Xenopus tropicalis: one gene and its partner. Each later gene encodes a partner of the first gene's protein in a complex. Links are inferred from orthologs where the notes say so. Each region holds a gene or a part of one and is shown on either strand. Other genes may lie near its edges.

Evidence for each region.
Region 2: cc2d2a (region 1) and b9d2 share a complex: the UniProt entries of both Homo sapiens proteins name them as parts of the tectonic-like complex. The link is inferred for Xenopus tropicalis from reciprocal best matches to the Homo sapiens genes CC2D2A and B9D2.

What each region holds. Positions count from the first base shown.
Region 1 is NC_030677.2:27,856,389-27,860,749, forward strand, and holds the start of cc2d2a (coiled-coil and C2 domain-containing protein 2A), read left to right. Parts: upstream 1-1,494; 5' UTR 1,495-1,691; coding exon 1,692-1,730; intron 1,731-4,361. UniProt on the Homo sapiens protein: Component of the tectonic-like complex, a complex localized at the transition zone of primary cilia and acting as a barrier that prevents diffusion of transmembrane proteins between the cilia and plasma membranes.
Region 2 is NC_030684.2:79,325,580-79,329,700, reverse strand, and holds the start of b9d2 (B9 domain-containing protein 2), read left to right. Parts: upstream 1-1,245; 5' UTR 1,246-1,316; coding exon 1,317-1,362; intron 1,363-2,131; coding exon 2,132-2,221; intron 2,222-2,941; coding exon 2,942-3,067; intron 3,068-3,243; coding exon 3,244-3,560; 3' UTR 3,561-4,121. UniProt on the Homo sapiens protein: Component of the tectonic-like complex, a complex localized at the transition zone of primary cilia and acting as a barrier that prevents diffusion of transmembrane proteins between the cilia and plasma membranes.

The DNA of each region.
Region 1 (4,361 bases):
CTGCTATCCCACAGCCCCAGTCCCTTCCCAGAGGCTATTATCCCCCCACTGCTGCTATAGGCACCATCTCTCCCTACTATACCTGTTATTCCACAGCCACAGTCCCTTCCCAGAGGCTATTATCCTCCCACTGCTACTATAGGCACCATCTCTCCCTACTATACCTGCTATTCCAGTCTCAATCCCTTCCCAGAGGCTATTATCCCCCCACTGCTACTATAGGCACCATCTCTCCCTACTATACCTGCTATCCCACAGCCCCAGTCCCTTCCCAGAGGCTATTATCCCCCCACTGCTACTATAGGCACCATCTCTCCCTACTATACCTGCTATCCCACAGCCCCAGTCCCTTCCCAGAGGCTATTATCCCCCCACTGCTACTATAGGCACCATCTCTCCCTACTATACCTGCTATCCCACAGCCACAGTCCCTTCCCAGAGGCTATTATCCCCCCACTGCTACTATAGGCACCATCTCTCCCTACTATACCTGCTATCCCACAGCCACAGTCCCTTCCCAGAGGCTATTATCCCCCCACTGCTACTATAGGCACCATCTCTCCCTACTATACCTGCTATCCCACAGCCACAGTCCCTTCCCAGAGGCTATTATCCCCCCACTGCTACTATAGGCACCATCTCTCCCTACTATACCTGCTATCCCACAGCCACAGTCCCTTCCCAGAGGCTATTATCCCACTGCTACTATAGGCACCATCTCTCCCTACAATACTTATAAATAAAGACGTGAATTTCAATGTTTTGCTTTCCCCCCATTATAATGAAGTGAAATGATATTTTCTGTGGCAGTTTAACAGGTTGTAGCAGTTTCCATGCCCCACTGTGATACCTTCACTAAAAGGAAATCTCGCATCATTAAAGAGCAGGCACCTGTGCTGTAAAAAAAAACCAATAATGTATAATGAGCAATTTATTGATTTAATGTGTTAATTAAAAGTCAGCGCATTGGTTGTCGGATTTTGTCCCTTCCCTTATAAAAGAAAGCTGTGTAAGGGGGAAAAGATGCAAGCACCTGAGCTCCCCACTCCTTTGCCAAGTCTCCAGCTCTCCGATGTCCCCCTTGATGGCGGCCCTGCACAGCGACACAGTCCTCACGGCGCTACCAAATAGCCAATCACAGTCATTATTTGGCCTCCCCAAAGAACTTCTTTTAATGTTTCTGTGGCTCACAGGTAAAACAAAAAGTTGGGGATCCCTGGTCTAACCCCTTTGGTTATGACTGAATACAGTAAGGGCGATCCATACCCAATAAGAACATGCTTGGTTATAATGAAATAAACCTCATTTGTGTGCACGTTTTATCTCGATCACTGGTTATATTATAAACAAATCTTTGGTTTATCTGCACAGAAGTCTCTACCACTAAACATTTCAGCACATACTAATGCCAGCCTTAGCAGCTGGAACTGAGTCTGTAGGTACAGAGACTCCATGGCAACGTTACAGCAAACACCCAGCAGTAGTACGCCCCTCCCACCGAACTATCCCAGTGCGCGGTGCATGCTGGGAGTGCGATCCCCCGGCCAATGGCGGCGCTCACCGACGCTTAAGTCGTTCTCTTTCTGAACCTGTACATTTCTGTATTGAATGAACTATAGACTTAACCGCAGCTACCGAAGAGGGGACAATTGTTCGGGTTCCAAGCTTGGAGCTGTCGCCACTAAGCTGCGATGAGACACTCTGAGGAGAAGCAGAGGATGGTGACACAGGTCTGTGCTGCTGATACACTAACTCAGTGTTGCCGTGTGTGTATGTTGTGCAGTTTGTGCTACAGTTACATTGAATAAGCGAATGGAATTTGTTGCTTACGCTACTGCTATGTCTATGGAGTTCCTGTGGTTGCTATAGGCGCCTCTGTGCGGTTGCTAAGGCCAAAGCGGAAGTTGCTGCGTTGCATTGCTTCACTTTCACTTTAGCGCTCCATGTTGTTTAACTAAAACTCTCAGCCCTCCCAAAGGTGCAACTGGGGGTTGTAGTACAGGTATAGGACCTGTTATCCAGAATGCTCGGGACCAAGGGTATTCCGGATAAGGGGTCTTCCTGTAATTTGGATCTCCATACCTTAAGTCTGCTAAAAAATCAATAAAACATTAATTTTAACACCCAATAGGTCTGTTTTGCATCCAATAAGCATTAATTATATCTTTGTTAGGATCAAGTACAGGTACTGTTTTATTATTACAGAGAAAAGGGAATCATTTAACCATTAAATAAACCCAATAGGGCTGTTCTGCCCCCAATAAGGGGTAATTATATCTTAGTTGGGATCAAGTACAGGTACTGTTTTATTATTATAGAGAAAAGGGAATCATTTAACCATGAAATAAACCCAATAGGGCTGTTCTGCCCCCAATAAGGGGTAATTATATCTTAGTTGGGATCAAGTACAGGTACTGTTTTATTATTACAGAGAAAAGGGAATCATTTAACCATTAAATAAACCCAATAGGGCTGTTCTGCCCCAATAAGGGGTAATTATATCTTAGTTGGGATCAAGTACAGGTACTGTTTTATTATTACAGAGAAAAGGGAATCATTTAACCATTAAATAAACCCAATAGGGCTGTTCTGCCCCAATAAGGGGTAATTATATCTTAGTTGGGATCAAGTACAGGTACTGTTTTATTATTACAGAGAAAAGGGAATCATTTAACCATTAAATAAACCCAATAGGGCTGTTCTGCCCCCAATAAGGGGTAATTATATCTTAGTTGGGATCAAGTACAGGTACTGTTTTATTATTACAGAGAAAAGGGAATCATTTAACCATGAAATAAACCCAATAGGGCTGTTCTGCCCCCAATAAGGGGTAATTATATCTTAGTTGGGATCAAGTACAGGTACTGTTTTATTATTACAGAGAAAAGGGAATCATTTAACCATGAAATAAACCCAATAGGGCTGTTCTGCCCCCAATAAGGGGTAATTATATCTTAGTTGGGATTAAGTACAGGTACTGTTTTATTATTACAGAGAAAAGGGAATCATTTAACCATTTAATAAACCCAATAGGGCTGTTCTGCCCCCAATAAGGGGTAATTATATCTTAGTTGGGATCAAGTACAGGTACTGTTTTATTATTACAGAGAAAAAGGAAATCATTTAACCACTAAATAAACCCAATAGGACTGTTCTGCCCCCAATAAGGGGTAATTATATCTTAATTGGGATCAAGTACAGGTACTGTTTTATTATTACAGAGAAAAGGGAATCATTTAACCACTAAATAAACCCAATAGGGCTGTTCTGCCCCCAATAAGGGGTAATTATATCTTAGTTGGGATCAAGTACAGGTACTGTTTTATTATTAGGGCTCTGGTACACGGGGAGATTAGTCGCCCGCGGCAAAACTCCCTGCTCGCGGGCGACTAATCTCCCCGAGTTGCCTTCCCTCTGCCATCCCACTGGCGAACATGTAAGTCGCCGGCGGGATGGCAGACGCGGCGGGGCGATTTGCGCGAAATCGCGCTGCCGCGTCTGCCATCCCGCCGGCGACTTACATGTTCGCCGGTGGGATGGCAGAGGGAAGGCAACTCGGGGAGATTAGTCGCCCGCGAGCAGGGAGTTTTGCCGCGGGCGACTAATCTCCCCGTGTACCAGAGCCCTTACAGAGAAAAGGGAATCATTTAACCACTAAATAAACCCAATAGGACTGTTCTGCCCCCAATAAGGTGTAATTATATCTTAGTTGGGATCAAGTACAGGTACTGTTTTATTATTACAGAGAAAAGGGAATCATTTAACCATTAAATAAACCCAATAGGGCTGTTCTGCCCCCAATAAGGGGTAATTATATCTTAGTTGGGATCAAGTACAGGTATTGTTTTATTATTACAGAGAAAAAAAGGAAATCAGTTTTAAAAATGTGAATTATTTGATTAAAATGGAGTCTATGGGAGACGGGCTTTCCATAATTTGGAGCTTTATGGATAATGGGTTTCCATATAAGGGATCCCATACCTGTATAACAATTTCAGCAGAGAGACAGAACCCACCCTTGCTGCATAATATCTTACTGCTCTGTTATTTTTCCCCACATTGTGGTCTGTGTTGGTATCAGTTGCCCTTTAATTGCCAGCCGATTCTCACACTGCATTTATACTCCATGCCAAACTTATACTTGTTTTCACATTTCATGCTTTTTTTTTCTTTAGAGGCATTTCCTAGTGGCAATATTTAGGGGCCCATTCATGAAACCATGATTTTTTTTTCTTTCTAATTTTTAGAACTTTTCGTAATGACCACGATAATATTTTTAAAATTGCACAACCTTTTTGTGGTTTTCGTTAAAAGTCGTATTTTTCGCAAAGACTACGACCATTTCGGAATTCATTCAAGCT
Region 2 (4,121 bases), on another chromosome or scaffold:
GGAAATGGGCAGAGACAAATGGAGAGATCTGATAAGAAATGCATACTGAGCATGCAGAATAAATCACTCAATGAGAAAGGGGTAAAATGGGGCAAACAGTTATCTTGTGAAGCAACAGACAGGATCTTTTAAAGACACTAAAATAACAGCATATGTTCCGCAAAAATTGGCTCATTACCAGCTTGTCTTGCAGTAAAGCAGCTTTAGCAATCTTTTATAACAAAAATACTAATGTATTTCTTGCATGAATTGGATCAACGACACCTTTTCAGATAGGGATATCCTAAATAAATTCTTCTGCGTTCATGTATCCAAGTATCTCCCTACTTCTTTTAAAATGTAATTAAATATTTTGGCCACTATGTCTGTCATAAAAGTGAATGCGTTTCGTCTGACGCTGCCATTCAAAGTTTCCAGCATTTTAAAAGCTGGGTTCTTTTTGGTTTAAAGGCTTTACATTTGGGGGTGTGACTACAAAGTGGGAGCAGACAAACGCATTTTCAGCATGGCCATGCTAATTCTCATTACACCCCCCTCAGCCACTAACTTGCTGAACTTTAAATGGACGCTAATATGTCTCTTGTATACGTAATGCCTCAGAACCCGACACGACACGACGCCCTATATCTGTTTAAGCAACGTTCCATTACACTATGTTGTATTATAAATCACAGATTGCAGTATTAATAGCTATCGTTTAATCCCAATACTTCGTCTCCCACAGACTATCAGTCTCGATCAGTTTACACATTTCGCCTACAACAGACGTCACTTCCGCCGGTGAACCAATCAGATCTGCTGTATGCAACGGTTGCACAGCAACAGGCGGAGTCTACCAAAGTGAGAATTAGAAGGGGCAAAAAGCTAAGACAAGGAGCCGGTTTTCAGAGGGGGTCCGGTGAGATTTATGTTGCAGTTGTGCGGTTAGGGGAAGCATTTATAGCGGGATGTAAAAGAGGGCGAAAAATATTTAGAGCTAATAAACTGGTAAAGCGCTTACATCTTACCCTACTGCGGTGTTATATACGCAAAGGTAGATATGATTCGCAGGTTGTCGGTATGGAGTCCTGATGATTTTGCACCATCATCCAAATATGTATCGTCAGTAATTTATATGCTCATAGCACACACAATGGCGCCAGTGTAGGGAGTGTAATGGGGGTATTACGTTTTCCAGCAGCTGATAGTTGACAAACAGAGGCTCTTGGCTGATTCTGTAAGTGTAAGCTGTAGGGCCCTCAGTTTAGGGATTCTATTTGTTGATTCTATAGTGCCTTCACTGTCAGTGTTCTATGTAGTTATGAAATTCACTGTACATGAATAGCCACACTCATGAATTACATTACAGCCCAACTTGTGCAGGTATAAGTAGGTTTTTTTTGCTTGATGTTGGTCATTGACCTGGTTAGTTACATATGTAATACACTATGCGGTAATGACAAATAAAATTATGCTTTCAAATTGGTTTTATTGGATGTGTAATGAACAGTTTGGTTATGACATGCCACGTCTTACAGGGCTTATTGCTGGGGGTTAGCTACATATACTAATAATATACGTAGTAATAACACTGCGCTAAAAGTAGGTAATAAATAAAATGTATATGTAATACTAATGTTCCTTCTAAGCTATGCATTTGTGGATATTTAAATTACGATGTCAGGGCACATGCATTAGAACCGCCCTTTTACATTATTGAGGCCACTAGAAAATAATGGGGGATGTCATATCCTTGAAATGTATTAATCATTATATTTTGGAGGGACCACAAAATAAAAAAACCTAAGTAAGGGATGAAAAATAAAGTTTTACTGTAATAAATTGTGGTGCGCAAAAAGAATTTTGTATGTAAAGGCATAATTTAGAATTTTTTTAGACTTGCGCATAGTTTTTATAAAAGTGCTCAAATAGGTTTAGGAAGTAGGCACAAAAGAAAGTTTTTGCACACACAGCCAAGAAAAAAAGGAAAACTTGGTCACTGAGGCTTGTATATTTATATTGGCGTCAGATGGTATAAGAAGTGTAATTTCTAGCTGTTATTGTTTGTTGGACCTACTTCTAATAAAAATTATAATTTAGTTTCTTCACAATAATGATGTAACTGAAATATATTTTACCTTTCCTCCTACAGTAATGGCAGAGGTTCACATCATAGGGCAAATTATTGGGGCTAGTGGCTTCCCCCAACACAGCCTGTTTTGCAAATGGGGAGTACACACAGGTAAGAGTCATCATTTTGCATTTTAAATGGATCTATATATCAATTGTACATAAAAAAAACACAGTTTTGTTTTTTTGTGGAGCTGTACGCTGTTGAAAATGTGGTATATGCATTCAGTTGGCCCCACTTTTATTCTAGTACAGGTATGGGATTCCTTATACGGAAACCCGTTATCCAGAAAGTTCTGAATTATGGAATGCCCGTCTCCCATAGACTCCATTTTAATCAAATAATTCAGAATTTTAAAACAGATTTCCTTTTTCGCTGTAGTAATAAAACAATACCTTGTAATTGATCCCAACTAAGATATAAATAATCCTTATTGGATGCAAAACAATCCCATAGGGTTTAATTAATGTTTTATTGATTCTTTAGTAGATTTAAGCTATGGAGATCCAAATTACCCTTGGTCCCGAGCATTCTGAATAATGGGTCCTATACCTGTAATATATTTTTAAGTTTGTGATGTGAAGAAGAAATATATGCGTCAGGTGACCCCTGTATTTATTCTAGTAATGTGAAGTGAAGGAGAAGGCTGTGTTTGTATAACTTAAAGCCCATTTTTGGCTTTACTTTACATAAACAATATAAAAGAGTCTTAAAGGAAATGTTAATGTTTTGAGAAAATCTTGATATATAAGATACTGGTGTGGCTCTATCTATTATTAACCATATGATATTTCTATTTGTAATAACATCGTTCCCTACCATAACATTTAGGTGGAGCCTGGAAGCTACTTTCTGGGGTTGTGGAAGGCCAGACACAAGTAGATCATCCACAAAATGATGACATGGCATTCTGGTCTCACCCTATTGACATGCACTTTGCTACTAAAGGATTACAAGGTAAAGTATGATAGAATAAAGAATAAAATAAAGAATCTGTTAAAATTATTGTAATCACATTGGAGCCCCTGCACAGGCTCCCAACCCTAACCCTACCCATTCAAATGAACACACTTTACCTACCAAAGGTGCAAAGTACATTATGTACTTTAAATGCTTGTATTTCCCCCACTTAGGTTGGCCAAAACTTCACCTTCAAGTCTGGCATCAGGACACATTTGGTCGTAATGAACTTTATGGTTACAGCTTCCTCCACATCCCTTCCACCCCTGGTACTCACTCATTGCTTAGCCCAACCTGGCGACCCCTGGGAACATGGCAGGAGCAAATATGTCAGATGTTTGTTGGCGGCGGCCCACAACTTAAGTCATCCAGCCTGATTTATGGAGGGTCTGATCGCTACCGTCTGCAAACAGTGGCCATGGGGCAAGTACATCTCCAATTAACGGTCATACTCAGGAACTTTGAACGATACGGGGTGGAGTGTTCTTGATTTTGCAGAGTGCTAAGAACTTGTTCCTGGTTTTCCAAATGATTATTTTTGGTGCCAAGGACATATGCACTGAAATAATCAGCAAGACATTTTATGGAATTACTTGTGAACACCTCAAACAGAATCCTGCTCAGTATTTAATGAGCCCCTTTTCTCAACCCTTCTTAATAAACCTGATACTTCATATCTCTTCTGTACCATAATCTGGTAACATTTATCCTCCTCCCCTTCTACTAACATCTCTTACACTTTCCCAAATTGTCTGTTACTTCTGATATTAGCCATTTTCCTCATTGTATCACTTTTTTACTATCCTTGCTTTGTTTTCAGCCCTGTTATAAAGCACACTCCCTTTCTCTCCTTTCATTTTCATAATACCTCATTCACATCAATCACTTACCAGAATACATTTATATATAAAGTAAATTGAATGTTTTTGTTTTTAAATACTTTTCAGGCTCTTTTGACGATTATCTTAAATCAGTTATAATGTGAATGTGATTCCAATGTCTCTGCTGTCAGCTGTGCTATATAAACCATGCACAGAAAATTGCCCTGTTT